Styela clava: one gene and its partner. The protein of the gene in region 2 interacts with the protein of the main gene of each other region in a pairwise test. Links are inferred from orthologs where the notes say so. Each region holds a gene or a part of one and is shown on either strand. Other genes may lie near its edges. The genes, in order: alpha-soluble NSF attachment protein-like and syntaxin-16-like.

The links.
Region 1: the proteins of syntaxin-16-like (region 2) and alpha-soluble NSF attachment protein-like interact in a two-hybrid assay, tested with the Drosophila melanogaster proteins (2 studies listed by BioGRID). The link is inferred for Styela clava from reciprocal best matches to the Drosophila melanogaster genes Syx16 and alphaSnap.

Annotation. Positions count from the first base shown.
Region 1 is NC_135261.1:11,683,500-11,700,657, reverse strand, and holds alpha-soluble NSF attachment protein-like, read right to left. Parts: upstream 8,413-17,158; 5' UTR 8,368-8,412; coding exon 8,218-8,367; intron 7,135-8,217; coding exon 6,976-7,134; intron 6,513-6,975; coding exon 6,390-6,512; intron 5,806-6,389; coding exon 5,579-5,805; intron 3,602-5,578; coding exon 3,379-3,601; 3' UTR 1,997-3,378; downstream 1-1,996. Other genes in the region: heat shock protein 75 kDa, mitochondrial-like, read left to right, coding at 1-561; zinc finger BED domain-containing protein 5-like, read right to left, coding at 9,553-9,977, 10,466-11,039. UniProt on the Drosophila melanogaster protein: Required for vesicular transport between the endoplasmic reticulum and the Golgi apparatus. Also between the endosome and phagosome.
Region 2 is NC_135251.1:18,712,086-18,729,209, reverse strand, and holds syntaxin-16-like, read left to right. Parts: upstream 1-8,414; 5' UTR 8,415-8,484; coding exon 8,485-9,420; 3' UTR 9,421-11,423; downstream 11,424-17,124. Other genes in the region: condensin-2 complex subunit H2-like, read left to right, coding at 101-1,903; ribosomal protein S6 kinase delta-1-like, read left to right, coding at 11,529-11,648, 12,405-12,440, 13,046-13,163, 13,550-13,665, 13,964-14,060, 15,208-15,291.

The DNA of each region.
Region 1 (17,158 bases), on a different chromosome or scaffold from region 2:
ATGGAAGTACTTTTCTGCTATGAGCCTTATGATGAAATAATGATGTTGCAATTGAAGAACTACAATGGGAAGCAACTTTTTTCTGTGGAAAATGAAATAGTTGCTGACATGTTTAAAGATGAGAAGGGGACAAAGACTGATGGTGAATCACAAGCGATTTCACCGCAAATGGATAAGTTCACACAATGGGCCAAAGGAGTCCTAGGCGATAGAGTTACGGATGTTAAAAGCACAACAAAACTTGATAAGCATCCGTCCATGGTCACAGTTTGGGAAATGGGATCTGTGAGACATTTCATTCGTAGCCAATATTTAGCTGATCCTAAAGGTCTTTCTGAAAAAGAACGATCTATGCTATTCAAACCTGTATTCCAACTTAATGTAAACCATCCAGCCATTATAAAACTTGGGAAAATTTACGATACGGAAAGTGAACTTGCAACTCTGGCCCTTGAACAGTTATATGAAAATGCCATGGTATCAGCTGGGCTAGTTGATGATGCCAGACCCATGGTTGGCAGACTGAACAACCTATTGACAAAAGTTCTAGAAAAGTTATAATATGGCTACTTTGGGTTTGCCTGAGTGATATTTTAATAATATAAATAACATTTTCAATGCTAAACTTTAAAAAGATTGGTTAGGTTTCTTTTATTTCATGTATACATAAATAAGTTTCGATTTCTGCGTATGCATAACAAAGAATGTTTCCAGTATTCTATATCAGGGGTGTGCAAACCTGGCACCTGCGGGACTGAAGGCAGCAGACAAAGAAAAATTGTGCGGCTTGCGAAACGATTTTTTAATTTAGTTTAATCTGATATGCGCGAGTAGTTCCAAACTCTTTGTGTTGCAAAGTCTATACCCGAGGCCTAGTCCAATATATTATGATGATAAAATGCCCGAACAGCAAGCTTGTGCGAAGCAATGCGTGTCATAAGATCAATAAGCGAAATTTTTGTTCCTGCAACTACCACAAAGCCCCTGTTAAATAAAGGTGCAACCCACAGTTTCACCCGGTTCTTTGCATTTAGGTTGCACACCCCTGTTCCATATCGATCTAGCTAACTGATATTATATTAGAAAATGTGATGTGAGCAGTTGCACTTGCGTATTGCATCTCCAATATAGAGCAATTTCTGTTTCCATTACACAAAGTTGGACACTTCAGGTTATTCGATACAAATTGCATTAAAAAGATTATCTTACCAGCATTGCAATTCGTGATATTCTTCCTGCGTCAACATTTCATAAAGGTTGGGAATGCTGTTTGAGTGTTAACTCCTAAACCTACGATTTGATGTTATTCGGAATTTTCGTTATTGGGTATAACAATTCCTAAACATTTAACTGTTAATCTCCTGGCCCTATTTGTTCCACAATCAATAAAATGTACCCAATTGAATAAAAATGACTTTTACTGAAATAATTAATTTCAGGAAACAGATCATAATATGATATGTAGAAATATGAATTCTCTTTCAAGATGGGTGGTTGGGAACAGATGACTGAGTAATCCATGTTTACCAGAGGAGTTGTCCACTCTTTGGAATCCTGTGTTTCCATGCTAATTTTCTTAACATTTATCATGGAAAATCGTTACCTGTCCGGCTGCCTAATAATATGACGACCTATGACCACTGGATGTGAATATATTGCAATAGCGAAATGCAGTAAAAAGAACCATCGTTGCTTCGACTAACAGTATGCCACTGGCCCTACTATCAAAAAGAGTGCTTTTATAGGCCTTGGTTAATGGAAAGGGAAAATAAAACCAACATATGTTATATTATAAACCCACCAGTACCTAAAATGGCTCAAATCAACCTGCAATATAAAAGAACAGATTTTGTAAATCAATACCATAACAAATAAAAATATATTGATCACAAACTTTGAGACCACCACCAATCACTAATCCACTTATATATATTGATTACATTTGGCCAGCAACTTTGAAAACAGATTAGATAATAAAAACAACAAGCCACTGGAATGTTTTTGATAGTTTTTATTGAATGCAAATCACATAAAATGAGACTTAAATCTAGAATGTTATAATATCACACACAGATGACCACCATGTTTCTATATTAGAATATAAGAGGACGCAGTAAAGTATGTACGAATTCCAACCTGCGTCATCTAAAGGGTTATCAAGGACACCGGGAACCACGGAAGTACACAAAAGTCCCAGTTTCATCTACTCATTCTGGGGGTAATATTGCACTTTATGCTGTATGTATTCTAACAACAGTCTCTAAAATATCAAACGTACTCCCAAGGGTCTAACCTGCGAACATTAGCATTGAACAAAGTCGCTGCAAAGAATTAGACAAATACGGTCGAAGGTCTCCAATATTGCTATATAGTATATACTATATAAATGAACAGAAGAACTATATCTTTATGCCCAAAATAGACAGACAACATGTCACCATATTAACACTATAGACTTAGTGGATAAACATTCATTCATGGCAAATTTACAACATTGCCTAGGACTGTATGTATCATCCTTTTTATGAAGATATGGATATCACATAGTCTACCGAGTTGAATTAAACTGTGTGAATTGTTTACCATTAAGGTGAAAAATTATTAAGCTTCTTACAACAATTCAGAGTCGCAATTGGATTTTCTTTACACATTATGTACGTTCATGCCCGGGGTGTTGAAATGGATAAAATCACTGCTTTGATAAAGTAAATAAAATCAATTACTTTTTAGATGTAAATAAGACAATAAGCAGGCTATGATCAGAAAAAAATAGCCATAGTCGAATTTGTATTATATATGATAGAAAAAATTCATGACTTTTTGTCCATTGTTCCCTTATTTTCGAGCAATCTAACAGTCAGATTATAATCAGGTTTTTCTCACTTAGTTTACACTGATATAACAATTTAAATCATTTTTTATAGGATTTATTACTGTGATTTTTATTAATAAAAACTGTATGAAATATGTATGAAGTTCATAATGAATGGCCATTTTCAAATATTTATGATTAAATATTTTCTAGGCGTAAGAGTAATCTTAAATTAATGTGAAGCCCTTCTTTGAGGAAAAATCATTAGGGCAAGGTTCCGGTGATCGTAATAAATTTTTATCCTGATGAGTAAAATAGTCTACAACAACTGATGAAGAAATCTTTATGCTTGGTAGCTCATTATAGAAGTGAAATTTTCGGGCCCTGAATTATTTAGCAAGAAACCCTCTTAGTTAGAATATTTTACAATGATATATTATTAATGAGAAAGATTCTTGTTTTGACTGTAAACTTGTTATAATATTATTATTTATATATAATAGACTAAGTATTAACAAATACTTGTACCAGAATTCATCTCAAATACTGTTTAAAGTCAAACAAAGCTATGTAAGATCTTCATCATCATTCCCTATTGTCTTTTTGATTCGTAGAAGGATTGTGGTCAGCCACTGGTCAATGCGAGATATCGAATCATATTTTGCAACTGCTTCCGCAAATGCATCAGAATTTTGGTTGTCATGTGTCTCGATTAAACTCTTCAACAATTGGCATTCTCTACTGTCAGAAAATGCTGGAAAGAGACCTTCGTATTTCTCCAATGATTGCCTTTAAGAAGAAATTATAAAATTAATAAGCCTCACAGAACAAAATAGTAATTAACATAAATAAAAACTAAAATGGTGCGGACTATGTAGTTAGGCCTACCGATAGTGACGCATGTAATTTACCCTAAACCACGAACCCTTGTTTCAAGGCAAGGCAGGCAATTTAAATTGGAACCTCATGAATAAAATAGATGAATCTAATTAGATTGCAACGAAACAGGGATTACATTTCTGATAGTTTGCTTCCAATATTTAGCAATTTTCTCCCTAACACTAATTTAGGTTGCTGAGAATAGTCTATTGCCTTTTGGACATTTAGTATCATCTTTATCACAATTATAATAAGTGGGTAATGCTAAAATCTCATATACATAGACACGAAGATCGTGAATCAGTGGAGGAAGGACTGAGAGCACTGTATTTGCCGAAAACATGGGTAGAACTGTAGAAGAACGATATGAAGGTGGACTAGTAATACAGAACAAAATGTCTTCTTTTCAGATAAAATATCAAGCCTCATAAAACCTGTGAGAAAATTTGAAAAAAAAGAATTGAAGTAATAGCTTTCTTTCGACTACTTCCATCTATAACTATTAAAAACTTGAACTGAATTTGAATCAAATTGTAAAAATGGTGTAAATTTATAGTCTTTGCAAATGCATTAGATCTGATCATTATTCTAAATTTTTTTTCTGTCAAAACAACTTTTACCCACATTACCTGATAGCAGTTGAAGCCAAGACAAGAAAAATTAGGAATATTACAGTAATCAGAGGCATGAGTTACACACATTTATATATTTATGCTGATATTATGAAATCTCATACTATATCACCAAATACATAGATACAGTAGTAAAGTAGAATTACAGATTGAAATTGATTGATCCATTAGCTGGAGTCCTGGAGAGAAAAGAATTTTTTCCCCACAAGTCCACTTCCATGGTTAATAAACCAGTATGTGAAAGTCTCAACACTTTGATGATAGCAAAATATACTTTTCTGTTCTGTTGTTGCTCGAGACTTATCTTCTGGTAAACCCTCACAAGGAATTTCATTCTTCATTCACAATATTTTTTAAAAGACCCAGTTGAATAAATACTTTGTAAAATGATTCATATTCAAGGATACCCAGGTGATTTGAAGTATGCATCCCACACTAAATTATTTATAGTCAGCTGACTTTTTCAGCTTTCACAGTTCTCTGACTCACAATAACAATTGTCAGGAAATGAGTGATTATCTCATAATCATAATTGACGTAAATATGATTAACAAAAAAACAATGGTCTGATTATTTAAGATTGAAAGTTGAAACTTTTATTCCCTGATAATGAGTTGATAACGCTGTTACTTTTATATCTGATATTTAGTACGAAAATATCACCATTTCATATGATTAAGCTTTATCTATTTCCTTTGAATAAAATTAATAAAATATGGCTGATTTTGAACATCAAATTCCAACATCTGCTGCACCATAGTACAAACCACTTTATACAAGTCAACATTATAGAAACAGACGATAAGGTAGTCACCTACTTCACTGATACCCGATTTGTAAATGGCCAGACACGCTTAATAAATTATGAACTGTCATCGTGGGGATTTGGAACGGTATGGAATGAGTCCGTAGTCAAGGTAGTGTCACCTTTGGCACTGCTGTAATGCCCCAGCCCCCAACTTAATAGTTTTAATCTCGATTGTAAATACGACGTCTAGAATTCTCAGTGCTTTCATTCAACTGTGAATAATCATGAATATGGTGATTTTTCTCTATAAATAAAATTTTTGATAATCCTACCTAAAGGCATTCAGTAAGTTGGATAAGGCAATTTAACAGATTTTTCGGAGACTGAATCCGTACAGATCATCCCGACTCAGGTGCTTGTGAGTGAGTTCATATTTCCTCAAAGTTAATGAGATTTAGACTCAATTTATTAAGTCAATAAATCAATAGTAACATGTAAATCACTTACATTGCATCGATTGTTCCACCCAAACAAAAATGGCAGAGTGCTGATTTGAAGAAGTACTCTTTCACCGAATATTTTAACAACGGACTATTCATTGATGACATTCCAACACGCTCATATAATTCTATGGCTTTTGTATATTGCTCAAGCTGAGCTGCATAGGCCGCCACCTTCAACCAGCACTTATTTGCACTACTCGTCGAATCTTCGCCCTTATAAAAATCTGCAGCCTATACAAACAGAAATTTTGGTTAATATTGTGGTGGAAGTACTATACAGTGAGCAGGCCTGCCCAACCTAAAAGAAAACATTTTATGCTGCCTGCAAGGTTGTTTGAAAATACTTTCTTGAATCTTCAAAAATGTATATGATCAGTGGTGTACAATGTTAAGTTAATTCTAGATCAATTCTAATAAATGCTCAGATTACAAATTCGAATAACATCCAACTTCCCACTTTATTTGAACTCACAATTTACTTTCACACCTGGCATATAATGTTGGTGCTATCATTTTTATTACCCCATCAAATCAAATCTGTAACCTAATACAAGCCATATCGGAACCCATTAGTCGAAATCTCTATGTCAATGGCTTTAAATTATACATGAAGTTTTAAAAAACACATTTACCAGTCATATCAATATTATACAGCCTCCAATTTTCACATGTTATTTATTATCAGTGATAGTTTTTGTGAATAACATTGTGCTGTATTCTGAAATAACATCAAACGAATTGTAAAATCAGAATGGTCATTTTACACAACAAAATAATAAAATGTATAAGAAGAATATGTGAAAAAATAGACCTACTCGCTCATAATGAGAAATGGCTTCTTCAAGTTTTGAAGTCTCGTTTTCATAAATTTCCGCAACGGATATATGATGTTTTGCAGCAACTGTAAATCTCCCCATATCAGTATAAATATCAATAGCCTGTATTAAACATTATTTTTATGTTTTCATAAAATCATTTGTATATTTATTTTATGTGGCGATAGTCAATTTGTAAATAAAAGTTAGAATAGAAACATTATACACAAATTTATGCATAGTTTTGCATGAATGCAAGACATTGGCTATCATAGTTTAATTAATTATATTTCGATTTATTAACCGTAATAAGGAATGGAAATGGCCGAGCCAATGCACAAACCTTCTATAATTACTGGAGGCAATGGAAATGAGCAAAATTATAAATTCCCATTCTTCAAAATTCAAACTATTCGTATCCTATTACCTGTTACTAGAATAACAGGATCTTTGATCAAATCAAATTTCTTTGCAAAAAAACTAGATAACACAAATCATTTTTTTGTGATTCTAATGCGAAAATAAAGTTTTTACTAAACTAACCAAAAACGTACAATCCTACTAAGCAATAATATGTTCATCTCACCCTTGTCAAACATTTGATAGCCGCATCTGCATCTGATTTTTTATAACAATTCCCAGCATCAACAAAATTGGAAGCCGACTCGTGTTTATTCTGTAGTGATTGTTGAATATCTGCAGACTTACAGAATGCATTTCCTGCTTCGTTCCATTTTTTCAACATCTGGAGCAAAGAACAAACGAAAAATTATATATAACGACGATAACCTATGATCTGAAATTACTATACGGTAAAAAGTCATTAATGCATGAAATGCATATTCAAATTGAATTTATAGATTTATAAGATATGTTATAATTTTATGCTACATTGGAAAGACTACAGTTTTATCGGCAAATTAAGAAAATTGAGCTGAGCTGAGATGCACGTACCCAATAACATAAGATACACAAATTTTGATATTACTTATAGTATTTTCTGATGCTATTTCGGTATGCGATCTCAGCATCAAATAACTACTTTGGTATGTGATCTCACTAGCCACACATGATCTCAATCGAATATTAAAGTGGGATCAATTGTGGTGACACTTTCGTATGCGTTCAACGAATTTCATAATTTTTCATTGAGTTCAATTCCTGAACCTAACCATGTCACCGTTAATTTAGGGTCAGATAATAACATAATACTAAATTACTGAGATCGCATATAAAGTGACACCTATTTTCTGCTGTGTATTATTTGGAAATAGTTTGTGACAGGATGAAGATCTCCAAGATATCAGGTATACTGAAAGTGGATCGAAGATCAAAAAAAATTACTGCATGTTTCAAAGTATTCTCCTTAAAGCAACAGATTAAATTGATCAATTTAATTCTTGTATTATTATGATGAGTAAAATTCCACATAGAAATCACACACACAGATTTGTTTTCACAAGCAGTATCAAGTCAAAACTAAACATGCATTGTGAAACCATGTGAGGCTATAGAAGCTATCTATAAATACTGCACCAATAGGACACCAAACATGATTGAAAGGTATGAAGGAGGGACATCAACCAATATTGTCAAAACCTTCCTGAGCTGCCGTCATGCCAGATGGCCTCGTTTCATAGACAAATCAAGTAAAAGTTTTATTGAACAAAATGTCAAGATATCTTGGAATCGGAGAACTGTGGCATACGGTACTGCATACTGTTACAAAAATTATTGACTTTAAAAACTAATATCAGAATAATGATAGTAGAAGAAATGATGTACAGTAGCCTACAAGCTGAGATGTAAAGATATCATACAAATTCACCTTAAACATATTTGCTGCCCGAACAAATTTTTCACATGCTTCTTCTTGTTTAGATCCAGATCCTAGTAATTTAGAGAAAAATCCCTTTGATGAGTTGAGGCTTTTCTCAGCCTCAGCCATCAACTGGCAGGCCTCTTGTTCTTTATCCATAGTTCGATATTAATGTTTGTAACAAATCTAACTTATACTATCAGACTATAATACAGATATACAAATATAATGTTACGAACTTACAGTACCAGTAATCAGCTTGATGATATCTTTTGAGGAATATTTTTCTATCCACATTATATAACTCTTGTTGACTAATTCCATCAAGTGCAGTTTTAAGTATTCTGTGGCGTCTGCAGCTGCCGCAAAACCAAGGCGGTATTTCCAGACCATGTACCCTATATTTTTCTTTTTTACTGAGTAGGCTAATTGGATTTTATTTTCTCGCTTTTTTTACTCCCGATCTTATCATGTTTCAGTCTTGATGATTGTATGTCAGTGTGTGCGTGCCTTAATTAGTTTTAATACTTTTGGGTACCGGTAAGCGAACACCAGACTAGGTACCATACTAAAGTACCGTACTTATTTTATCGATAACTTCCCACCTACAGAACTAGGCTAAAATCTGTACGCTTTAAACCTTACTTGAGGTTTCGTTTGCTTTCCCGATTCTATAATCAGTTTTATTTATTTTGTTTTTATCAATTATTTTAATTGTCTATTGCTGATTATGGAGTCGAAATAAACTTATAACCGTATACGTTACTGTTATACTTATACACCACAGTATCAGTATACACGGACTACGGTAGACTACCCCTGTAGTATACAGAGATACCGGTACCTGTAACGTTACGGTATATATCGTAATTCTGTAACTGTTCATTTTATTTATCAGGTAAGTTACCGGTACCGGTAGTTCTGTAGTTGAACAAGCTATTTCAATATACAAAGTTCTGTTCTGAATCTGAATTATAGAATAAAAAGAATTATAGAAATTCGGAACTGAAAGAACCGCAGCTCTGAAATAAATACTGCAGGTTTATTTTGATCGAGCTCGTCCTTTTTATAATGATGACTGAGTCACTTTTGGTCCCTCTAGTGTTACTTATTTCGAGCACTCCTAACGCTGCCATGACACTATAGATCAGTGTTCTCCAACCTTTTTTTTCGTGGTATACCTTTTACAATTTTACGAGAACTTTGTATACCTTACAATTACCAATGTTTATTTAAAGCTAAAATGAGCAATAAATGTTAGGAACAGATTGTATAAAAACTAAAATCGAAGTGGCGGGGCGAGTCATTATAAATGCTTCTTTTAGTTTTTACTGACAGACGCAATTAATTTAGTGTAGTTTCAGTGGCTTCTTTGTTCTTGCATAGTTTCGGCAATTCGTTCATAACCATGGTATTTATCGTTGAAACGTCCTCAAACTCCCACCCAGACTCTTTCAAATATTGACTTAACAGGGGAAAGTCAATGAAGTTTCTCGAAGAAGCATTATTTTTCCAGAGTTGAATTTTCATCTTCAGAGCATTGATTTTGCTAGTCGATCGAAATATATCACCTCCCTTCCCTTGAAGACTGACGTTCACTTGATTCAAACGATCAAAAATCGACGCCATGTACGCTAATTTTGCAATCCAATATATATTACGAAACCTGTTGGCTTTTTGGTCTCCTCGTTCAGTGTAATACGCCCCTAATTGTTCTCGAAGTTCAAACACACGAGAAAGAACTTTTCCTCGGGACAGCCACCGTACTTCTGAATGTAAAAGAAGTTTTTTGGAAGTGGCGGCTGTTTCCTCGCATAGTTTCGAGAAAAGTCTCGTTTGTTTTGAACTTTTCTTGATCGTATTCACAAAATATACGACCTCCCGTAGAACATCGTGTAATTCATTTTCTTTACCGGCGCGGCGGTGTGGCTCAACGGGCTAAGCGTTAGGAATACGCTCGCCACCGCACCTCTAATTACTCTGCGTGGGTTCGCAGGTTCGAATCCCATGCAGGGATGGTTATGTGCGAGAGGATTGCTGGACTCCTCGCCGTCGTTGGGTGGTTCACGTAACCGCTGGTCGGTTACGGCTTCCTCCACCACCAAGTCCATGCTTCCGAAAACAAACAATACAGTAAAAACTAATCCCATACCCGACTTGGAATGGTAACCGGACGAGAGGCCGTGGTTCGCCATATGGATAAGCCGTCTTATCGGCTTTCCTCTCCCCCGGGATAAATATGTAAATCCTATCCTACCACTAGCGTCACCTGCATTCAGTTCAAGTTTCTTTGTTACTAATGCCTCGCGGTGGAGAATACAATGAATTCCTATGCATTCTGGAGACTTTCGCTTAATTCTCTCGATCAAACCTTTCTGTGAGCCTCGCATAGCTGCTGCTCCATCTGTTGTAACCGATTTGCACTTTGACCAATCTAACCCTTCTTCTTCAAAGAACTCGTTTATTTTATTGAAAATTGCTTCAGCAGTTGCCTTTTCTTCAACTGGTTGACAAAATAGATAATGTTCAACTATCCTGTTAGATTTTATGTCCGGAAATCTACAGAACACCATGAGCTGAGACTCACTGCTTATATCAGTGCTTTCATCCAACTGAATGCCAAAGGAGGAGGCTTCTAGTAACTTCTGAATTAGTTGTTCTTTTAAATCTGCGGATATAACGGCACATCGTCGCCATACAGTAGTGTCAGAAACAGCAATTTTTTTGACCTTGTCAACTGCTTTTGTTCCACCATGAATCAAGTCAGCCACAATTTCTAAACAAGGTAGCACTACACGTTCAAGTTCTGTGTACGGGCGTTTAACTTTCATCATGTGATGTTATCGCCATCTTGGTGCACATACTTCTTTCAGGAGGTCCCTATTTTCATGAGACCATATATATGCGCTACCGAAATGCTAAGGCCGTACGATACTCATGCTAACGTTGTACGATACTCATGCTAAAGCGCCAGCTACCGAAATGAAAAGTATTGTCTTCAGTTACAAGCAGAATCTCACACCAGGCAGGTAAGCACACTCTAAATATAGCTACGGGCCGTCGACTGAAAAAATCTCAACTTCAGAGTGAAAAATAAGAATGAGAATTAGATTGTGCCAAAACGGAAGAACAGCAATTACATGCTTAAAACGAATTAAAGACAATCACTACAAACTTACTCTCCTGACCATGCAAATTTTTCTGAAGACCTCATTCTCTCCTTGTCTGATTTCAAAAATGAAAACAATTCACTACAGTGCATATCTTTGAAATTATATTGGGGAGTCAACATGCCTTTTATAGTCGCAAATTGTTTCTCTCTTTAGTCCACTGACTTTGCATCAGTGAAAAGACTCTCTCTACAATATTGGCATTGTGGGATGTAATAGCAAAGGAAAACTGTTCAATCCTTAAAATTTCGGAGTGGCATGTGATGTTCGTAGACTGATCGAAATATTTGCACCATTTCTCATGCGTTGGCAGTTTAATAAATTCTTCGTCTTGTAGGTAACTTTCCACAAACTGCTTCAAGTTACAGAATTGGTCAAATCATTTATCATCGTCCACATCAACCCGTTTACTAATCAGATTTTCCAGGCAAGGCTTTACATCAGGGGTCGGCAACCTTTTGTCGCTCGCGGGCCAAAACCAAAGGTTGCAAGTCATTGGCGGGCCTCATATTTTTAGAATGTTGAAAACCGAACGGATAGCCGATGAATCACACTTTTTCACACAGATTAGAAGTTAAATTTAGAGCAGTGCACGAAGACTGACCATTGGAATATTTTCTGCACCATTAAACCATTTGCGCTAAGCATCAACTTTTCTGCGTTTTGTTGCCATTTGAGTAATTATAATTAAATTATAGGGTCATTAAACGTGCAATTGTGAATTATATACTTGTTAGGTTATAGCATAAATGATTGTTAGATGAATATGATATTACCGTATATTGCTATTTCGTAGATTGTCTCTGACTTGCAAGTTACCCGTTCACCCTTCAGCTTCAACGCCCACGTGAATGAAGGAAACTTTAGAAAACTCTGTTTGATTTTATTCTCAGATTTCCACGATACACAGAATATAAATCTTATAACATTTATCCACACTAGCTTTGAATGGTTTACAATTTACATCGTCTTCCCTCTTTTCCATCTCCTTATCGAAAGATATCGGAGTCATATTTATACGTTGATCATAAATCCAATTAAATGCTGTAAACGTGAGCTCGTGATTCACGTTATAAACAGAAATTCCTATTATCTCAACAAGGGTAATTATGTACATCGTACGGATGGGAACTTAGATATAATTATTTCAATCAGTGCCAAAGGTCTTGAGAATATAGATTTTAATTTGATAATGACTGGGTGGAACTTGTTATGTTCTTAAACCTGGTGTAATTTGATTCCTACGAAAGTCTTTGTTCGAATTTTGAGAGAAATTAACTTTGTTTTCATATTTTTAACATGAAATGGGGTACATTTGGGGGTAAGTTGCTATAAGGTTATAACATAATTTAGCCTACGCGTGTCGCAAAATTAATTCTGTTATGTAAAGAATATAATCGTTAAAACAGCTGTTTTGTTACTATAATCCAGTGAAGCGTCGCGGGCCGGATTATATTGCTCCGCGGACCGGATCCGGCCTGCGGGCCGTAGGTTGCCAACCCCTGCTTTACATCCTTCCAACTTGGTATCTCGTTCAAGGTTATCCATTTGAAATAAGTAAACTCTTCCATTGGTTTTATCCATTTGCACAAGTACTAAAAGCATTTGCAAAGTTTGCAACTTTAACACCATTGATAAGGAAAACGCTCTGTTATATTACAATTTCATACAACCTCGTAGTAAAAATATGCGCACGGTACGAAATAACAATGTTCTGTATTAGCGGTGTGCACATTACGATTGCAGATGCAGTAAAATTCCGGACATTTGAGCATTTTTTTAAATTCCTCCCGGACGCAAAATTTAACCCTAAATTCCGGACATGTCCGGAATTTTCCGGACGGTATGGCAACCCTATTGTATACCCTACTTATGGTCTGGTATACACTTAGGTATACAGTATACCCGGTTGAAGAGCACTGCTATAGATGACACATGGTTTCTCTGTTAGTCCCAACGACTGACATACCGGTTAGTCCTTGGCATTGAGTTGTATATACACCTCAGTGGCCCTTAGTCGTTGGTTAGGGCAACCCCGTGCAACTCCGGAAATTTGGTCCCGATGTTGGATTCGCCGCCACGCACGACTTGGTTCTGACAGATTATTGCTTCGAAAATCATCGAGCGACTAGGCCGCGAGCCGAGGACATTTATCTTTCAGTTTCGTAGCGCACATCAGGTAACTACCTGAAAATGATTTTAAAATGTTCCTTAGAAATTTAGTAACAAATATTGCCTTGTTCCCACTTACAAAAGTTGCACGTTTTACAGAAAAGACGCTTTTACTACAATAAATATGTGTTACCATCTGTCCTATTTTCTCTGCTTTTCCGGTATCATGGGCCAATGAACGCAGACTTCTGCACGACGTAACAGTCAAGTTAGTCAGCTGTAGGTGGATCCCCAGTGGTCGGATGAATATCAGATGTACTCAACTGCTCGCTTTTGCGTTGAGTAGCCTTTCCATAGTTTTTTTCAGTTACCGGTAATATTAGTCCAGTTATTCTAAGGAGGTGTTGAAAAGTATAGGTAAGATATTAAACACTTGTATATCCTTGCCATAAATAGCAATTTTAGTTGAGCACTAGCTCATAAGACGTTGTTAAATAGGTACCGGTACGGTGCGGTAACTCCAAGGAAGGCTAGACCTAGAATAATATGTCACAAACAACGATATTTTCTGGCTTGCATGAAATGTTTATGATTAATTTAATGACTCTTCTTGACTATTCAGCAGACTTATACTACTATATAGGCCACAGCATATTTGGAAATAGAAATGAATGGCTGTTTCTGTAATGCACGGTTGTGTGAAAGAGAAGAAATTAATCAATTTTACTAATGTCGGTTAGTCTAAATCTAAATTCATAGAGTCGACAAGAACCTGGGAAGCAATCATAAGTTATGCCGGAGTGGAAAGAAAGGTACGGTAGCATTGGAAATGATTGAGAGGTGAGAAATGAAGTTGTAGACAAACAGTTGATGTTTCAAAATATAGTCTATAGCCTAGTCCATACTCATACTGCTGTACTGTCATGGGACATTTCAGACTGTGATATATCAAAATTTAGTGTAGATATAGTCTAGTAATGGTATGCAAACACTGCTGGACTGTAGAACATGCAATGAGCATATATACGCTCATTTAGTACATCAGATAAAATGCATTACGGTATGTATTCAAGGTATTAGTTAGTATTTAGGGGTATTTTTAAAATCATGCTGCTCCAAATATTATTTTCTTCCTTATTTTAGATACTGTACTACAAAAGAAAACGGCAATGTTCCACCAATCCGACCTAACGCAGGCTCTGATCCCCGCTGCTATCAGTGCTATAAAATGGATTAAACAAGAAGTCTTGAAGCTTAAAGGTATATGAGAATCATAATAGTTGCCAACAGCTTAGATGGGCTATTCATATTGAAATACTTTAGCACTTTTCTGCAATTGGAACTGCCCATCAAATTCATGTTGGAGACTTCATTGAGATTTTCAATTCTTTTTTTTCCCTCGACTATGAAGATCTTTTGAGGTTAACGAGGTATTAATAAATAAAGCTGAGGAATTTGAAGAGGATATGAAGAATGTAAATGATACCAGGGCACGTCTATTTAACACTGTCAAACATAAGGATTATACTCTCCACCCAACAATGATTCACTGAAGAAGCATGTGGCCCTCAAATCAGTTCTTGAGTTGTCAAACTGCAAAGAAAAATAGTCAAAATAATTTATGAAAGTGTGCCAAAATCAACTTAAATTGCACAGATTTTTGTTTTTGTATTGACTGCAGAAATCACAGTACACCTATAGAGGAAAAGTCGATTTTTGAGATAGTGGATTTCGAAAACAATTCAGAAGAAAGTGAATTAGATATTACAGTTGATTTAATAAGTATCATACATTTGTTTTTTTTTCGGACATTTGTTAGTGTCGTAGTCCTGTTTCTAGAAATATTATTGCCTTTGTTCAAATACATAACCACATAAACTAAAAAAAGATTAATTGTAAATTGTAATATTTCTGTTCACTATGTTATGTACATATTGTACATTCATTTAATTTTCTTGACTTTTGCGGTAAATTTCTAAGTGAGAAATAACTGATTTATTTGTGTTTTCGTGCTCACGATGTTAATTTGTGACTTCATTGCTTAAAAATAAATACGTTTGATACTTGATAGCTTCTATAAAATGGATGTAGCTTTTTATGCTGTTCTTGTTGTAAACTGCTTGTGGTTATTACATAAAATTTATTCTAAAATGTGAATCAGCGTTGTTGGTGTCGCTGCTTTCGAGGTCACTCCCGACTCCTGTCACACAATTAAAGTATTTTTTGTTGTTGGTTACATGTATGCCATATTTTTCGTAATCTACCTAATAAATTATGATTGACTGAGGAAGTCCGATTTTGGTCAGGCAAAACATTACAGGAATACATTTGTGTTAGTGTGCTGTAGTGCTCTCGAATTGTATAGTTCTTATGAATGCGTTGTAAACTTATGGTTATTGAATTTCCGGGAACCTCTTATATTCAATTTCGCACCAGGATTGTGGAACAAGCTGTAATGCGTTCATTATGTTCGTTTTCACACAAAACTGAAGAATTTATTTAGTTACCAGATGTGCGCTACGAAACTCATTTTCTGGGCGTTTTCATGGTTTCGTCTCACGGCCCATATCCGTGGTAAGGATCTACAAGTGTTTAATAATTTACTTATACATTTTTCAACAACGTCTTAGCATAACTTAACTAATAATAACTAAACAGGGCTATGGAAAGCCTGCCCAACTCAGCGCAAGGTCGAGCAGAAATAACTGATATTCATCCGCTCGCTAACAGCTGGTTTAATTCAATTGTTACGTCATGCAGAAGTCATTGTTCAGTGCCGAAAATGTAGAGAATATAGGACAGATCGTAGCACATATTTCTTGTAGTAAAAGCGTCTTTTCCGTAAAACGTGCAACTTTTGGAAGTGGGAACAAGGCAATATTTGTTACTGAATTTTTAAGGAACATTTTAAAATCATTTTCAGGTAGTTACCTGATGTGCGCTACGAAACTCACTTTCTAGGCGTTTTTCAGGGCCTCGGCTCGCGGCCTAGACGTTTTTCATTTTTTTGTGTTCTGACGGTGCTGTCTCGCGTCAAGATCAAGGGAGTGACTTATAAATATTCAAGTTTATTTTGCATATGGTATATTACACAATATACTTGACTATAGAACAGATAGAATGCAGATTACGAAACAAAATAGAGGAACAATCAATTGAGTGTGGAGGCCCTGGGACCTGAGGACTGGTCCAGCACTCGAAAGCACATTGACAGTAAGATTCTAAATTCCCTTTAAAGCTTGTTCATCATAAAAAAAGAGCAAGTTGTAAATGTTCTTATAGGTACCCAATACAGTAATGATTTGTCAAGAAATGTAAATTTTGATAAAAGATATCCTATGTATATTTTCAGGAAGAAAAGGATCATAAAAAAATTGCAGTATGAGAATTCATGCTGTGTGATCAAAGCGGTAAGCAAGAATATAGATTGACTAATGGTGATGCTTTATCTTAAAAATCAGAATTAGTTTACACCATATCAATGGAAGTTTTTGGTGGGGCAACTAAAACTGTCAGCAAAAAAAATGTGGTGAGCGATGTCTGTATGGAAAACATAAATTAAACACACATAATTTAACTTCAATTAATTAGTGTTTTATGATGGAGTACTACTGATCTTGATAATTCTTTCCCAGACTCATTCTGTCATTGTATACGAAGTCACCAGC
Region 2 (17,124 bases):
GTTCTTTTTCACTGTATTTTTTTATCATGGTATATTTCTGTTTAATCAAGTTGCAATCATTGTTTCCTCATAAGATAATTAGAGGAACCTAAACGTAAATATGGTGTTATCAGAAGATCTTCAGAAAAAGTATGGCTTCTTGCTACAGCCAATAAAGGATATTACTAAGAATTGGGAAATAGATTTAACACATGTTTTGGAAGAATATATGGAAGAATTAGAAAAAATGACTTTTGAATTTGACAATGGAAAAACTGTGCTTAATTTTGCGGAAGCATCCTTGCTCATTCAAGGTACAGCCTGTGTATGGAGTAAAAAAGTTGAATACTTATATGTTCTTGTAAAACAGACGCTAGAAATGATCACAAACAGACAGAAAGAGGTTCCCGATGAAAATCCCAACAATTCTTCTAGTGATAAAACTATTGATCCCAATTTTGACGATGATGAAGAAAAATTGCTAAATCTGAATGATGTTGCAATAACTTCGAAAAGAGAATTCACTTCGAATTATGACCCAATTACACCTATTCCTATAACCCCTACAGCAATGCTTGAAAATGATAATGATGAAAGAGGAAGATTGATATTGTCTGAAAACAAGAATGACTCCGTTTGTTACACAAATGATTTTTGGGAGAATCGATTTATCCCATTTGAAAAAAGAATGAGTGTTCTTGATAGAGATTCAGGTGGGTTTTTGGATGAAATTATTGTTCCATCATTAGAAGAATTAGAAATTGCTCCGATGAACATTTTTTCTCGGTCTGAAGAACCTGTGGAGACAAATTCTGTCCGAGAAGAAATGGATAATTTTGGTGGAATGGACGAGTCCATGGATGCAGGAGCTGCTGCTGATGACATGGATGATGCTCCTCCATTCGTTGAAAATTTAGAACAAGAAAAAACTGTTATAGAAAGAATGCAGTTAAGAGAAAGGTTTCTTGCCAAGCCTGTACCCATACATGAAACCCCAGTTTTTCCCACCATCCTTGATCCACATGAGCATTGTAGAATACCTTGCTTTGCGGTCAAAAAATATGAAAAAATCAGGTCCCATTGTATTCCAGCTTCTATTCGCCAATCTAAAACCACTAGAAAAAGAAAGATTAACAGCCCGACTGTGGATAAAGTTGAAGAAATATCACTTTTCATAATGAACAAAGGTTACAAGAAAAGGAGAGACATTAAGTATCATGACAAATGTCTTGAGAAATTCATAGCTGCAGAAACTAAAGAAAGAGCTTTACTTTGGAAAAATATAAAACTATTAGCTATGACAAGTGATGTTGACCATTCACTTGGAATGCCTGGAAAAGATGTAGGCCCTGATGCGGTGTTTGGCGAAGAAGAACAACTTGAACCAATGAATCATGACTCGACAATACATTCGGATCATTTTTCACCTGACCTAGATGACCTTATTGGTGATGTGGTAGATAATCAAGGCAAGGGGAATCATACTGCACATGAAACTGTAAGCAGTCCCACTTCTTATGAAGACCTCGTTCGCCACCATGTTGAAATGTTCTATTCTGCTGCTAGGCGTTTCAAAGAAGAAACTGCGTTGTCACAAAGAGTAAAGTTATGGGATGAATCTATTACTCCACGTCTTGCAGAACAAAATTCAAGACCGGAATTTGACATCCATAAGTATGGAGGAATGATGCTGAAAAAATTTGAAAAGCCACAAGATACTAAATTATTTGAAGATGCTATTGAATCGCCAAATTCATGGTACATTTGTAGACTATTTGCAGCTACATTGCAGCTTGTTAATGACAACAATTTTCTTATAAGTAAAGATTCTGATTTCCAAAAGTCTGTTAACACAATGAAATTAACGCTGTTGAGTCATCATAGACTCTGTGAACGTTTTGATGATTATTCTTCGAAATCCTAAATTTTGATGAAAAACGTCTAGTCGTCTTATATTTTCGGTTTTAAAAAGTTTTATTAGGTAAATCACGCCCTAAAAAGTTTATTGTTTATGATCATTGCTATTCTGTTTTTTCTTTATTTCAGCCTCACAAATTAGGCATTTTTGTTGATATTGGGAGTTATCTCAACTTTTGTGTTATTTCCAAGGGGTGGTTATCATTTTCACATTCACATATTTATTTTACTTCTTTTTTTTCACTTTTTATGGGCCATATCGAATCCAAGCCTCTTTTGATAGTCTCTTTGTATTTTTGCATTCAAACACATGTTGGGAAACATTGACACAAATTTGATTTGGTGCTTTGATTTAAGAAATTTTGTTAGTTAGTAAATTGTTGTAAAATAATATGCATCTGTTATATAGAATTTCTTTCTTCGATAAGGACGATAACCCACTAACACTTTCTCATTAAAAGCATTTCTCAAATAGATGGTCATTAGTCATTATCAATAGCTGACTCCGCCATAGTATAAAATCAATATAATAGAGAGAGAGAGAGAGTTTATTTGTTAGTTACACGCACAGAGGATGGAAATCCAAATGAGGTGAACCACCACAGGTGATTCAAGAAGTCTTAAATGAAATGTCATCTTGCACGTTCTTAGCCAACGCTTAATAATTTCATGGTTTATTTAGCAATGCAAGACAAGGGACAATGATGATGTTAATTTGGGTCATTGGGTATGCAGTACAATTTTACAAATAGCAACATCGTCATTATTTAACAAGCAGCATTGAGCGTAGTGTGAATGTTTCCCTGGTTGCAATGGGATACATTTAAAATCCGAAAAGAGCATGTATGTATGTATGTTTATTCGTCTCGTAAAAGCAATATAAAAGAGTAAGTAATTATAAATACTGAAGACCGGATGTATGCACAAGACCATATTGGCCTAAAACACAAATGTGCGGCATACACCCCTTTTGATATATATAAATTATAATAGGGTAAATCAAATATGTACAATATGGTCCTTTATACAGGCAGTTGTGCAAGGAGGGTGGGTGGGTGTGGAGTGTACAAAACTGTTTGTACAAAGGAGTTTGTTAGACAAAACAACATCTATAAATAGAGACACAACACAACATGAAACACACTGCATATGAATATAGTAATAAAAAAAAATTAAGAATTTGGATGAATGTACAACACCATTGAGTTATGATACCACATACTATAAAACGCGGGAATGGTCAAGTTTAAAGGGTGTGTACATATATGGTATGCACCACATTTTACCATGTCATGGATTTTCCAATGTAAATTAAAATAATAAAATTATATGGTATCCTGGGATGAGCAGAAGACCGGATTATATTTGCAGTAAAAAGAAACTAGGTAGATCACTGAAGATTTTGGACTCCTTAAGCGCCAAAGTATATCATGCAAAAACTATGGAAATAGATTAATATAGAACATTACCGTACTAATTTCTCGTTCATTGATTACAAGTAACGCAATGAAATTCGCAAGAAAGATTTAATTTCGCAAATAATGTCAATTATTGCACTATTGAATCGAGACTTCGATCTTTCCATGTTAAATTTGCTTTGCGAGCAGTACCTACAAATGACCTATTATTTAGGATAAATAAGACATCAAGTCCGAAATGTACATTTTGTGAAAGGAGTGTTGAAACCGTGTTACATTTATTTTATTTCTGTGAATTTGTGCAACAATTATGGGAAATAGTTAATGCATGGCTAACTGTTGAATATGGTTTAAATCCTAATCTGACATATAGAGAAATTTTAATGGGGGTAGAGCAAAACCAAGGTATAAACTGTGTTTTATTGAGTGCAAGATATTATATCTATAAATGTAAACTACGTAATGAGAGGCCTCAATTTGATCAATTTTTACTGTGAAAAAATGATTGCAACTAGAAAATGTAAACTGTCGAACCACATTAGGAAGTGGAAAGTTATCATGAACTCATTTTTTTAAAGAGCAATTGTGTTTATGTGTTATATCGTGTGGATAAAAAGTGATGTTTTTATTAATAAAAAAAAAAAAAAAAATAATGTCGACGCTATAAAACATTGAAGTTTTGAGGGTCAGTAAACAAGACCGGTTCGGTCACCGAGGCTCCTGACCAATGCTGTGTATAAGAAATCTGTCAGATAAAGCAATAAAACTAAACAAAACGTTTTTCAAGTGAGGTCGTACAAAGCTCTCAAAGTGCTCCGTACGAAGCCCCAGGGCTCCGTGAGAGAAACCTAATGCTCCGCGGGCTACTGTCCAAAGACGCAATAACGGCATTAATAAAATGTGACAACAGTAGCGTCGAAATATCGCAAAGCGGTAATTCAAATATGACATTATCTACAAGCAGGAGCGAGCCAGGATTTTAAAAGAGAGGTGGTGGGTGTTCAAAATTGGAATCGGAAATTCTCGCGCAACATTCTTCGCGATTAGGCCACTCGTTAAAAAAGACTTTTTCAGCAGATAACGAGTTTTCTGTTGCGTAAAATATTCAATCTATAGCCGACGCGAGCACGATAATTTAATTGTGTTCATCGCTACTCGTTTTTACGTCTATATTACGATTACTAATAAAATGAAAGATTACTATTCTAAAATAACATAAAAAACGTTCTCAACTGCCAAGTACCAATTATAAATAGATGGAAATCGTATTTTTACGATCTTGGGATTCGTCAAATTGGATTTGATCTTTCAGCACTGAAGATTATTTTTAAGCAAGATAAAATCTCAAGGTCGGCGTTAAAACCTCCATGAGTACAACTCACAATTGCGCAATCCCTGACCGATGGGGGCATGTTTAAAATGCCGTGTTTTTTGGCTTAATTGTGTTCAATGTAACCTGCGATTGCGTCGACTTACGACAACATAAAATCATCACTGCTCAGAATCACCGCGGCATCCGCGGACATGGAATGAGAATCAAAGTTGCCGCATAACCTGGATGACGCTGTTGTCGTAAGATATTAGAAGTAATGTAAAGCATAATCATGACTGATTGTATGGCAGATTACAGCAATTTAGCGAACTCGACAAATTTGAGTCGTTCCTATAACGCTGACTCCCTATCGCATGTCTGTCACTCAGATTCTTTCAAAGATATATATCACCGTTTGAAAAATCACAAAATACGGATGATTAAAATTTATTTTATTGCAATAAAAAATTGATTGAAATACTTTACATTAATTATCTTATATATCGTCACATATCGAGAAAAAGTCGCATGCGGCTAAGTCGGTGCCCAATTAACTATGTTTCGATTTCTGTTAATACCGTATAATTTCCAAAGAAAACCTAAAATAACACCAAATTTTGTTATTAACATTGTCTTAAAAAGCTTTTTCAATAGACCTTTCCCCGAGCATCGACTTCCTTGTTTACTTCGTGACATTGGCCAATCTGGAAGATGCAAAAAGTGACGTAACAATGCTCCCTTTTCGCATCCGCTCAGACACATTTCTCACTCTGACAGATTTTCAAGCGTGGTCGTAAACATTACCTCGTTTTCGCGTTCTTGAACTCTATTCGTTAGTTTTCAGTTGTGTTTCGGAAGCTCAAATATAAATCAGGTAATTCAATCTGTCTTCTTAGGGGTTTTACTTTAATTGCAGTAATAAAAAATTAGGGTTCCATTACATTTGAACCCACGTACATTTGAACCCATGACAATTGCACCTGTATGCTATTGCACCAATGAAATTTTTTTTGTTTCACGAATAGTTAAACCCATACTACCCTAACCCATGGGTTTTAGCACCGGCATATAGGTTGAACCCGTGGATATACGCATGGGTTCAAATGTACGTGGGTTCAAATGTACGGTCACCAAAAATTAGTGTAGAAATGGTTCCATTGCATTTGAACCCACGTACATTTGAACCCATGACAATTGCACCTGTATGCTATTGCACCTATGAAATTTTTTTTGTTTTTCGGATAGTTGAACCCATACTAACCCTAACCCATGGGTTTTAGCACCCACATATAGATTAAACCCGTGGATATACACATGGGTTCAAATGTACGTGGGTTCAAATGTATGGTCGGTCACCTGTAGAAATAGCTATGATAGACTAGGCTAAAAAAATTTACCGGTACTTTTAAAAAAACAGATTGTTGTATGCGATGAATCATAATGATAATTTGAAACACATACCTCATTTTACAGTCGCCAACTCGCAAAAGCACTCTTAAGTTAGCCCCGAAAATTCTGCAATGGTAAAGTATAGGAAGAATTTTTCCGGTGTCAAAGGTCGGAAAAATGTCCATTTGTCACGAGTCCGCTAAAACAAAACTTATGGTGTTATCTGTTTTAAGTTTTAGTTTTAATATTTTATAATGCCGCTTTTCATTCAAGAAATTTGGGTTGCGTATACACCCCTTTATTAATTATTCTTAGCATATCGTCGCCGATGATATATAATATACTAACTTGTTTTTCACACTGAACCAACGACTAGATACCGCACTGAACTCATAATTCCACACCAGAACAAAAAGCAATTATCGTCTTCCTCGTGGAACAATTTATGCATATGCCGATGAAAATTTGTGATTGAAGGAGAATAAACACCGACGTGCAAATGTTTACGGACTAAAAAACATATCAAACCGACGAAAATAATCGGCGATTTTATCAAGATGCAATCGCGCACGTTATTAGCGATTTTTCAGTCTTCAAAAATATCAGAAGGGAGGTTCGACCCCGAATTTATTAATATGTTTGTTCAGTGTCAAATTTACAGCCTTAATATATATAATTTATCTGTGAAATTTAGATTTATTCATGGCTGGTATTAACCCTATTAAAAGGTTAGTCATTGAAATTGAGTAAAATAATTTTAACCAACTAAGGAATATTAATTGCCTAATTGGTAAGTAACAATTTTAAAATTTATTGTGGGGCTCCGTGAATAATAGTCATCCTCTTCAGGGGCTCCGTAACACCAAAAGTTTGAGAACCCCTGGTCTAACAATGTATGTAATATGAAAAATCACGCGGCATGCAACTACAGAGAGCTTTTGCTCATTAAACGATCCACTTTGCATAAAATGAGTCCGCGCATTTGTAAACAACTGGTCAACGTTGACTGGTAACCGGGCGAGAGACCGTGGTACGCCTTATGATTAAGCCAGAGCCATTACATAATGTCCCTGATTAAGCCGTCTCGCGGGATATCCTTCTCCGCCAGGATAAAATAATGATCCCTATTCAAAAGATAAACACTAAACACACTAAAATTTAGCTGGTGGGTGAGTGGGCGTGTGTCGCTCCTAAACTTAACACTGTAATAACCTATTTTGTATATAAATTACTCGGTATGTTAGTCGTTGATATTACTATAACATTATGTGCTCTGTATATGGACGTTTTGCTCGCTCACCCAAACTAGCCAATTTCTATGTGTGCCTATTCATTGCGCGATGTGGGAGATGTAGCTGCTTTCAGACTCCTGCCACTGCCTGGGTAATCGTCGCCGTTCATCTACGCTTGTGACCTGTTAAGTGCAAGCAGCTGACTTGACGATATTTTCTATTTGACTTGTGAAGGTATTTCGGAATTTGTTTTATTATGATTTTTAAGTTAGGTTGTTGTGGTACCGGTATTGGTAACAAGAGTATGCAGTACGGTTGTACGACAGGCCAGAAGCAGTCTGATGGGGACGATTTTAAGTTGGCTTTTAATAAATGATTTCTGTTGTTTATTTTCAATGCTGAGTATTTTTATTTACACAACGTAAAATGTTCATATGCTTATTTCAATTTCTCGACACTAAATACAGAAGTATGAATGTTAATATCAATCAATCTTATTTTGGTCACTCTGAAAGAAACAAAACTACAACAAACGGACAAACAAAATGCAGAGGACCTGGAGGACGGGTATAACTTAATAAAAAAGTTAAAAGCGTACAAGTAGTCTACGTGCCCGTCCACCAAAAACAGTCAAAAGAACACAATAAAATAAAGACACATGCAAAATCGGGCAATACGGTACCTTTTGAATCAATTTTAAAATGTGAGACACTGATCAAAAGAAGATCATGGAAACACTTTATACAAACTAGAATTAAAAAATTAACAAAAAAAATTGTGGCTGCGGTTCTTATGTGGTGATTACAGAAGATATTGATTGTTCAGTGAAATTTTATCACATAACAAATGTAAATCACGAGAAAATGAACTATGTACAGATGTATGTGAGAAAGTGGCATGCATAGACTTGAGGGCTTGCTGATTGCATTCTTGTATGGCTGTTTTTGATGAAAATGATATATGAAATGATAACCTCCAGTCAAACGCTATGCTGTAAAGTGTAACTAAATAAAATACGATTAAAAGGACGTTTCTAGAATTGATAGGATGGAATGCATGACTGTGGTATGTGTATCATAACAGTGCTTTTCTTACAAAAATATGAAATAAAAAACACCATCAGCTAACTTAAGAGCGAATAGGTGAAAGCATCAAACAGTCTGAACGATTTTTACTCTTAATTTATCATATTTTTATATTAATTACCGTAATATAGCCTAGTAGTCTACATATCATAATGTTGACGAGATCTCTCACTGACGCATTTATACTCATGCGCAATAATGCGCTACAAAATCGTCATATGTTTTGGCAACGACAAGATGTTGAGTACGATGCAGATGAAAATGACGAAGTCTCTTTGATATCTAATCGAAAAGGACAAAATTCAATGCAGTTGAAAAGTCTTCCACCAAGATGGTTATCGACAGTCGAAGAAATCAAAGAAGGAATCAGCCAAATCAAATTAAAAATGGAAGAATTATCAGCTCACCATCACAAACATCTTAATCGTCCAACGTTAGATGATGATGTTGAAGAAGAACAAACTATTGAAATCTTGACTCAAGAAATAACACATTTATTTTACAGCTGCAATCAGAGCGTTAAAATTCTGTCTAACCTTTCAAAAAAAGCTTCCAAGCATGAGAAATTGATGTCAAAAAATGTTGTTTCGGCTATGGCTTCTTCATTACAAAATGTATCAAATGATTTTCGACACAGTCAATCTTCTTATTTGAAAAAGTTGAAAGCAAGAGAAGATAGGTCGAGACATTTTTTTGACTCTGATAATGCGATTATGGTCGAACACAGTGAAATGGATATCGATGATGAAACATTTGAACGAGGGTTTTCTACAACGCAATCTGCTCTTGTTGAAACGAATAGTCGTATCATTGAAGAACGTGAAGAAGAAATTCAAAAGGTCGTTCAAAGTATCTCAGATTTGGCGGAAATATTTAGAGATTTGAGTAACATTGTAGTGGAGCAAGGAACTGTTCTTGACAGAATTGATTATAATGTTGAAAACTCTGTTATGAAAACGGACGAAGGAGTAAAACAATTACAAAAAGCGGAGAAATACCAAAAGAAAAACAAAAAACTTTATGTTATCTTTGTACTATCAATTATAACGGCAATAATGCTAATTATCTTAATTATAAAAAAGGGTTGATTTTTTATTCATATCTATTTTAAATATGTGATGTATTCTACTATTTAGTTAACTAGTTGTGTGATGTAAGCAAATGTGCAATGACTTTGATAGATGTGTGTGTGTGTGAGTTATTCTAACTCTGCACTTGATGTATCATAAGGTAGTACTTATCATACCATATTAAATGCTGGTATTATTCATCCATGGTGTTGGTCTTTTATCACTCATTTTCATCAAATTTCATTTGCCCACTGATCCTAAAATCTGAATACTATTTTGTAATTATAAAATGATTTAACTCGGCTTCACTTCACCCTGGTTGAAATAAATCGGGTAAGCATTACTGAAGTGTAAATCAGCCTCTGCTTATGTGGAGCCTTGTTTGGAGCGGAATTCTTAAAAATCACATAAAAATGTGATGTCCTTTTCATTTTTTCAAATGACTCTACAGATTCAGATTGTAGCGTGTCTCCCATATTGTTTGTATTTGCACATGCTTATTTGGTCTGTATCACTACTGGCTGATAGCATGTCAGCTGCTGTGCTTTTAAAACATAGTAAAAAGTGAATTTCAGGGCCAGGAAATTCTTCAAATCGTGCATTGCTCTGAACCTAAATAATCATGAACAAGTGGTAACATAATATCAAGAATAAACATGAAACTGCCACCATGGGTTATGTACTGATGTTATGATTTTCTGTACGGAAATAGAGCTGTTTATAATGATTATACAGACTTTCTATGGTTTTATATTCACTTATGCAGATCCACCTAGAGACAAGGGTCTATCGCGTTTGTATGTACTAAAATCATTCCAGTTTGGCATATTCTATACATTTTATTCGGTGGATATGGATCATTGGATCAGAAAGCAGAAACCTAAAATGGCAAGAAATCTTATTTACCATGATAATACGCGGAATTTCATCAACCGATCAAACGTCTGGCTAAATAACACTGTATGACCTGACTATAGTTTTTTGTTTTATATTAACATTGTTAATGCACTGCTAGTTTTTTTTATGTGCCAGGAATTCCAGTAAAATTTACAACTTAGTTCTAAATATTATTGTACATTTATTTTTTAAATAACTATATTTCTTGCTAATTTTACCCACTTTATCAGTTGTGTTATATTAATTTAAAGTTGTAGAGCCGTGATGTCTTGAGGAGGTCTATTTAACTTCATTATGACTTCACCTCAACCTAACCCTAGAATAGAAAATTTGAAAACAGCAGAATTTGTACTTTTACTTCAGGTTGAGAAAATTCTGGTCAGTCCTGCTTCAATGATTCCCACTGGGAACAGAGTCAGAATTGCACTGAAGTTTTGATTTATTTGTGTCATTAGTATAATGCTTATTAGTTCACTCATCTTTGGTGGGCAAAATGGGCTTTAGTTTAAAATTATTTTTGCTTCAAGGTTACTAATTTATTGTTTAACTCTGACCTGCTAGTCAATAGGTATAATTTACATTGCTTTAGTTCTACTTCATGTTTGTGTCGTGTCTTATTTTTATACTTGAAAAATTAAATTTTTAATGGTTCCTAAGTAATTCAAGAGCTTTGCTGGTCGCTGCACACTAACATACAGTAAATATATTTTTTGTAACGTTTTGTCGGACCAAGGTCAGACATAATTCAACTACAACAAAATGAGAAATTGCATACTCGTCCAAACAATGAGTGTTATGCCATGTGTTATATATTTGAAGCCATTGAATATGGGTATTGGTAAATACCAAAAGAGATGAATAGAACATGAAAATTACAAGGTGGAATAGTACTATAGTAGCTTGGATTCTGAAAACTGACTGAAGTCCCAAGTCCCATTTGTATGCATAGAAAATGTATAAGATCTGTCGAAAAATGAGTCTTGATATTTGTCTTTTTTTCTTTTTGCCAACTTGAAAAATTGGGTATGAGGATATTTTCCATCGTGTAATTCTTATTTTCTGTCCTTCGTTTTCCCATATTTTGGGCACAAAGTTATTTTATATGTGTATTTTCATCATTTAGACTCATTGTCAGTGGTTTTAGTAAATATAATGACATGAATCTGTAGGATTGGGATTATAAAATAACGGGCAGCAATATGTGTGGAAGACACCTGTAGCAGTGGCGAATGGCAAGTCGTGGTGGGATTTATTCTGATAAGAGAAAGAAGGAGGTGATACCACAATATTTTGTGAAAGAAGCTCGACATCATCCAGACGGTTTCACAGTTTATAAAGTCATTCGTAGGGTAAGATTTCAATGAACAAAAATAGCATAAAGCCTGTTCAAGAATTGTAGGCGATGAGTATTCACTATTTGGTAAATTATGTTCGAAAATATATGGTTTATTGATCGTAAACGCATAAATTGGCCCCCAAAACAACAATACTTCTGTCATTTGGGACATATTCTAGAGACAACATAACTCTTGTGCAAAGTGTCCTGGATTATTGAAACTCTTCAGCACAGACATAAATAAACAGGAGTTTCAAGGTTCTGTTTTTGGGTACCTGTACTTGATTTTTTCTGATAAAGATCATGCTATATTTGTTTACTTCAATACTAACTCGTTGAACAAAAACCTTGTGACTCTGTCATATATGCACACGATAGAAATAGCAAAAACACAAATTGCATATAGCGAGAAGATCATTGCAAATTCTCTTACAACAATCTAATCTCAATCTTACTTAGAACAGTTTCAAAAATTTTGATCACAAAAGTTTTTGAATGCTTTGTGTATAGGCATTACATCGCCTTCATGTTATACTTTTCCCATTTACCAATAGGAAACCAATGTTTGAATTAATTTTGTTGAACTGGTGACCCATCGCAAATCCTTTATCAAACTTCATGTTTATGTGAGCTTTGTATTGTCACTGAATAGAAAACTGGTGTAATTGTTAAACTATAGTATCCTGTGACTGACCTATCTTTTTATGTCAAATTGTAAACAGCGACAATGTCCTGTGCTTCAGAGATTTATATAGATTTAATTTTGCAGGTGCCTGATCCTACTTCGTTCGACTGTTTTAAAGAGGTGTGTATGTTTTCTTTATGCATTTTTTCCATCGTTATGTTGTGCTATCTGGGCACCAGGTGTGAGTTTTAGTGTTGGACTGCAAAGTGTTGAAAGCAATTCGTGATGAGAAATTCTTCTATAGAAATAGTTTTAACTTAAAGGTGCTCTAACTATGGTTTTGCTATCAAAAGTGGAGATGTCAGAATTAGGTTGAATACATTTAATCGTTTTTTAAAAAAACAGCTTTTAGACTTGGGATTTTTACACGACATATTCATATGCCCTTCAGTCCAAATAAGTCCCTTTAAAAGAAGCTACTTCTGTTAGGAAGAACCAGAATGATTCGGGGGTTGGCATTTTCTACCCAATTTGTTACACCCTGGGTGAGGTGATGGGCATGGAATTTGAACTCGAGTAAAATGGTAAAGTAAAGTAAACACTTCAACACAAATAATTTGAGGATCTTTTTGCATAGATGTTTGCAAATGCATTGTTTCTTTATAATAGTAAGTCAAGTTTCTATTAGCAAATATATTTTGAGCAAATTGCCCCCTTTTCATAGTTTGTCATATAATGAAATTTCATTGGTGATGTAAATTGAAATAATTGTTTCTAATTTTCAGAGTTTTGTTTGGAAACGATACAGCGACTTCAAAGATCTGTATAAATGTCTCGTTTTATTGCACAAAAAACTTTTTCTTAATGGAAAACCACCAGAGTTTGCAAAACCGAAGTTGTTTGGTGAGTTTAGCATTCATTTATAAATATAGTTCATTTGAGAGACGATTTTTTTCAAAATCCAATCCTCTTTGCCTATTTTGGGTCTCTTTAGTTCTCCCTCACTATGGGTCTTTCCTCATTTGTTTGTTTTTTGAAGGTGTTACTCGCAGCTCCCACTCCGGCTTGACATAGTTTAAAAAAGTATACAAAATGCTGAATAAGCAGTTGTTGGTAAAATCACAAAACAAAAGAATTATCGGTACTCATTGATTGGGAAACACTAGGTTAAACTGTACTGTAGCACTGTAACTGTACCACTTGCACTCATCCCTGAGATTCTTATAATTATTATACTAATTGTAATTGTTGCAATCCAGATTTTAAGTTTGTACACATTTGAACTACAGGTCGCTTTGAAGAGAGTGTTGTCCGAGAAAGACAGAAAAGTGCAGAGGATGTGTTGAATTTTGCAACCCAGCATCCACCTTTATGCAGATCAGTTGCTTTTAAAGAGTTTTTCCAGGTATCTATGCACTAAGTTAGAATCAATTGATGATGAAGTGCGAGCGGATTGCTGGACTCTTTATTGTTGTAGGGTGGTTCATATAACCAGTGGGTGGCTATTGCCTTCTCCATCATCAGGTTCATGCATCTAAATCAACTGGTTGATGATTGTCATACTTGACATGGACTGGTAACCAGACGAGTGGTTCGCCATATGAATAAGATGCCTTATTGGATTCCCTCTCCCCTGGGATAAATAAAAAAATCCTATCAAATTGTGTATTCAAAAATGAAACACAATACCATTTTTTTTGTAGTACCTTCAGCCCATCGACTCAACTTCTGAAATTCGTTATCTCAAACAATCTCCATTGAAACCAAGTAAAGAAAAGAAAGAAGTGGATGACAGTGACAGTATGATGACAATTTTATTGCTTTATGCTTTTCCTATTGTTGTCTATTTTATATTAAAAGCCTCGCCATCCTGAAGATGCATAATATGTGCCTAAAGGTATCTTACTGTGGAGGTACTATCAGTCTATTGACTTATGTTAAGTAATTGCAAGGTTGGTGATTACATTGTTGAAGTATGTGCTCGGTATTTTGTGATGGCCAATTATTCATAACTAACAATTTTTTATATGAAGTTTTCTATGCCGTTTGCTCTGAATGAGGCACTAATATCTAGTAATATGTGCGGAGTCCAGTAGCTTTCCAATTCAGCATTGCCAACCATATTGGATGAGCTGGGGGACACGGGATTTGAACCCAAGTGTAACATTCTAATGCTAAGTCTTATGCTTCAAGTATAGGTTATTTTGATATTTTCCTTAGGCTGGAAACTTTTAAATCGTATCAGACAATAGGTATTGTCCAATATTATTCTATTATGCCTTTAATATGTACAATTATTTGGAATCACTGCATATGGCCACTTATACATTAGATATAATGTGCCATTATAATATATATAATATATCACATAATATTATTATAATATAAAAGTTGATACTGATATCACTTTATATGTGAATTGCGGTAGATGATAATATCTAACAAATATAATTCACAGCTTTTTTTTAACAATTTTTTGTTATAATTTAGCCATCTTTGGTCATCTAACTAGAGTAATGTTATTTTAAATGGAACAAAAAATTTTCTTCACTTAACTTGTGTTTTCAAAACTGTATATACATATTTTCAATGAATGTTTTACTTTAATTAAGTATTCGATATTTTAAATTATGGAAAGTATTATATACATGGTGAGGGTGACCCACAAAAATAAAATTCTGGTCATTTGGAACTACCAGAGAACATAACTTTTGTGCAAACCTTTTAGATTACTGAGACGTTCGGATACAATCATACACTATCAGAAGTGAAGTGAAATTTCTAAGATATGTTTATTTGCATGCATGTATAAATAATCCCTTGTTATATTTCTCCTATTATTCCATACTATTGATTTTTCAATATTAGAAATCAGCAGAATCGGTTGCTTTTAATCCCTCTATTTTGATCAACTGGTGAGGCCATACTAATTCAATAACCATTTTAGATTTGCTGCAGTCAGATCAGACAACAAAATCACAATTGTCTCATAGAGATTTGGAATTATTTGATCCATTTCTTACAACCAAAGGTAGGTTTCTATTCCTCATATATATTTGTAACAAATCAATAAAGTCAAAGTTTGCATTTTATTATTTTTTGTCTTTATTATTATTTATATGTTTCCAGTTCTATAAAAAATGCCATTGCTTTGTATCACATGCTCACAGCACAAGTTTTAATACATTTTGAGTAATTTCTATTCTAATATCTTTCACTAATATAAAAACCTTATTTTCTTCGTCATTTTGTCCGTATTTTTGTCGCATAGCCTACTTCTGCATGATTGTTTAGAAGGGATCTGACCTGACAGATATAAGGTCGGATAGCATTTTTGTTGTGTATAATATCATTAAATTTCTATATCAAAAATCAGTGACCTGACGCTTAGTACTTGATATGAACTAAACACAGTTTGAGTACTTTCAATAGTCTTCACACCAGCTCTTGTATGAGTGCTAATATCTGAAGAGGTACATTTGTTTCATTCCTATTATAAAAGATCAATGATGATTTATAGATAGAAGTGCTTTGTGGTGTGTCCCATTTTAGTGATGAGTAAGTAGCAGTGGAAATTTAGACTGGTTTGTTGTTAGCACAGAGGACAGAAATCAATATCAGACATTGTTTGTTGTCGTAGTTGTTGCATGGGTTAGAAATAGTCGAATAGCTAATTTGAGAATACCGTGTATGCTAAGTTTGTGATTGAGGAAATTTGGTAATTTTGAAATGATAGTGTTTCAGATATTAAACTTTATATTGTAGTATTAGAACTCTCATTCATGTTAAAATAATATCAGAATAATTATTGTGTATTTGTATACAGAGCATATCATGTCAAAAAATTTCATTTGAAACAAAATTTGTTAAGTATTGGTTTGAAACAGTATTACATGCCTCATGAGTTTGTATTATAATACAAACTATCATTTTTATTTTGGAACTTTTGCTATGCAAATGAGTTTACGTTTAATTAATGTTAATGACCAACATTTGGTAAAATTATTATTTCCATATTCCGAATGTTAGAAAACTGTATATTTTGCAAGCAAATGGAGACTCTATTCTATAAAGTTAAATGGCATTTGTATGTTATTCAATATTTAATGAAATATCCCATTTTTCATGGAAATATTCAGTCATATTCTTGAAATAATAAGTTTGTTAATACTAAAATATTGAAAAAAATAAAAAAATATGTTTAAATTTTGAAAATTCAACTCTATGAAATTTACATCAGATGTTCAGACCAATAACACTTATTTCACTTCTGAATTCTGATTACTGTAGAAAACCAGTTGGAACAGTTTAAATTTTACTGCATTATAAAAATCAATCTCGATTTGTAATAATTTCCCCATTGAAAATTATCCCATTAGAATATATTCGATATTTCAATTTTCATATTAAAAATTTTTATTTAGAAATGGTTTAGTGGGATTTTGCCATCATTTTGCTATACATTCCAAAATGCTCTGAATTCCTATGGGTGTAATAACGATTGTACACTGACAATTATGAAATAATGTTAATTAGTAAACAACACAGTCATTTCCATACTCAAGTGCTTTATTAAGTAATCACATCTACTTAACTAATTGTGATTTTCTGCTTGGCTGACAATCATATTACGGTATTTAGTGTCTCATCAGCCTTTATGTAACTACAGGGTGCCATAAAAAGAAAGAACTCATAAATTCCCTAGTTACTACTGCGAAAATGAGGAAAATTTATTTAACTATTCAACTTGTGTATGATTGTACCAAAAAGTTTCAGTAATCTGACGCTCTGCACAATAGTTATTTTCTCTCTAGAATATGTTCCAAAATACCTGGTTTCTATTTTTTGCAGTCTCCCTGTATAT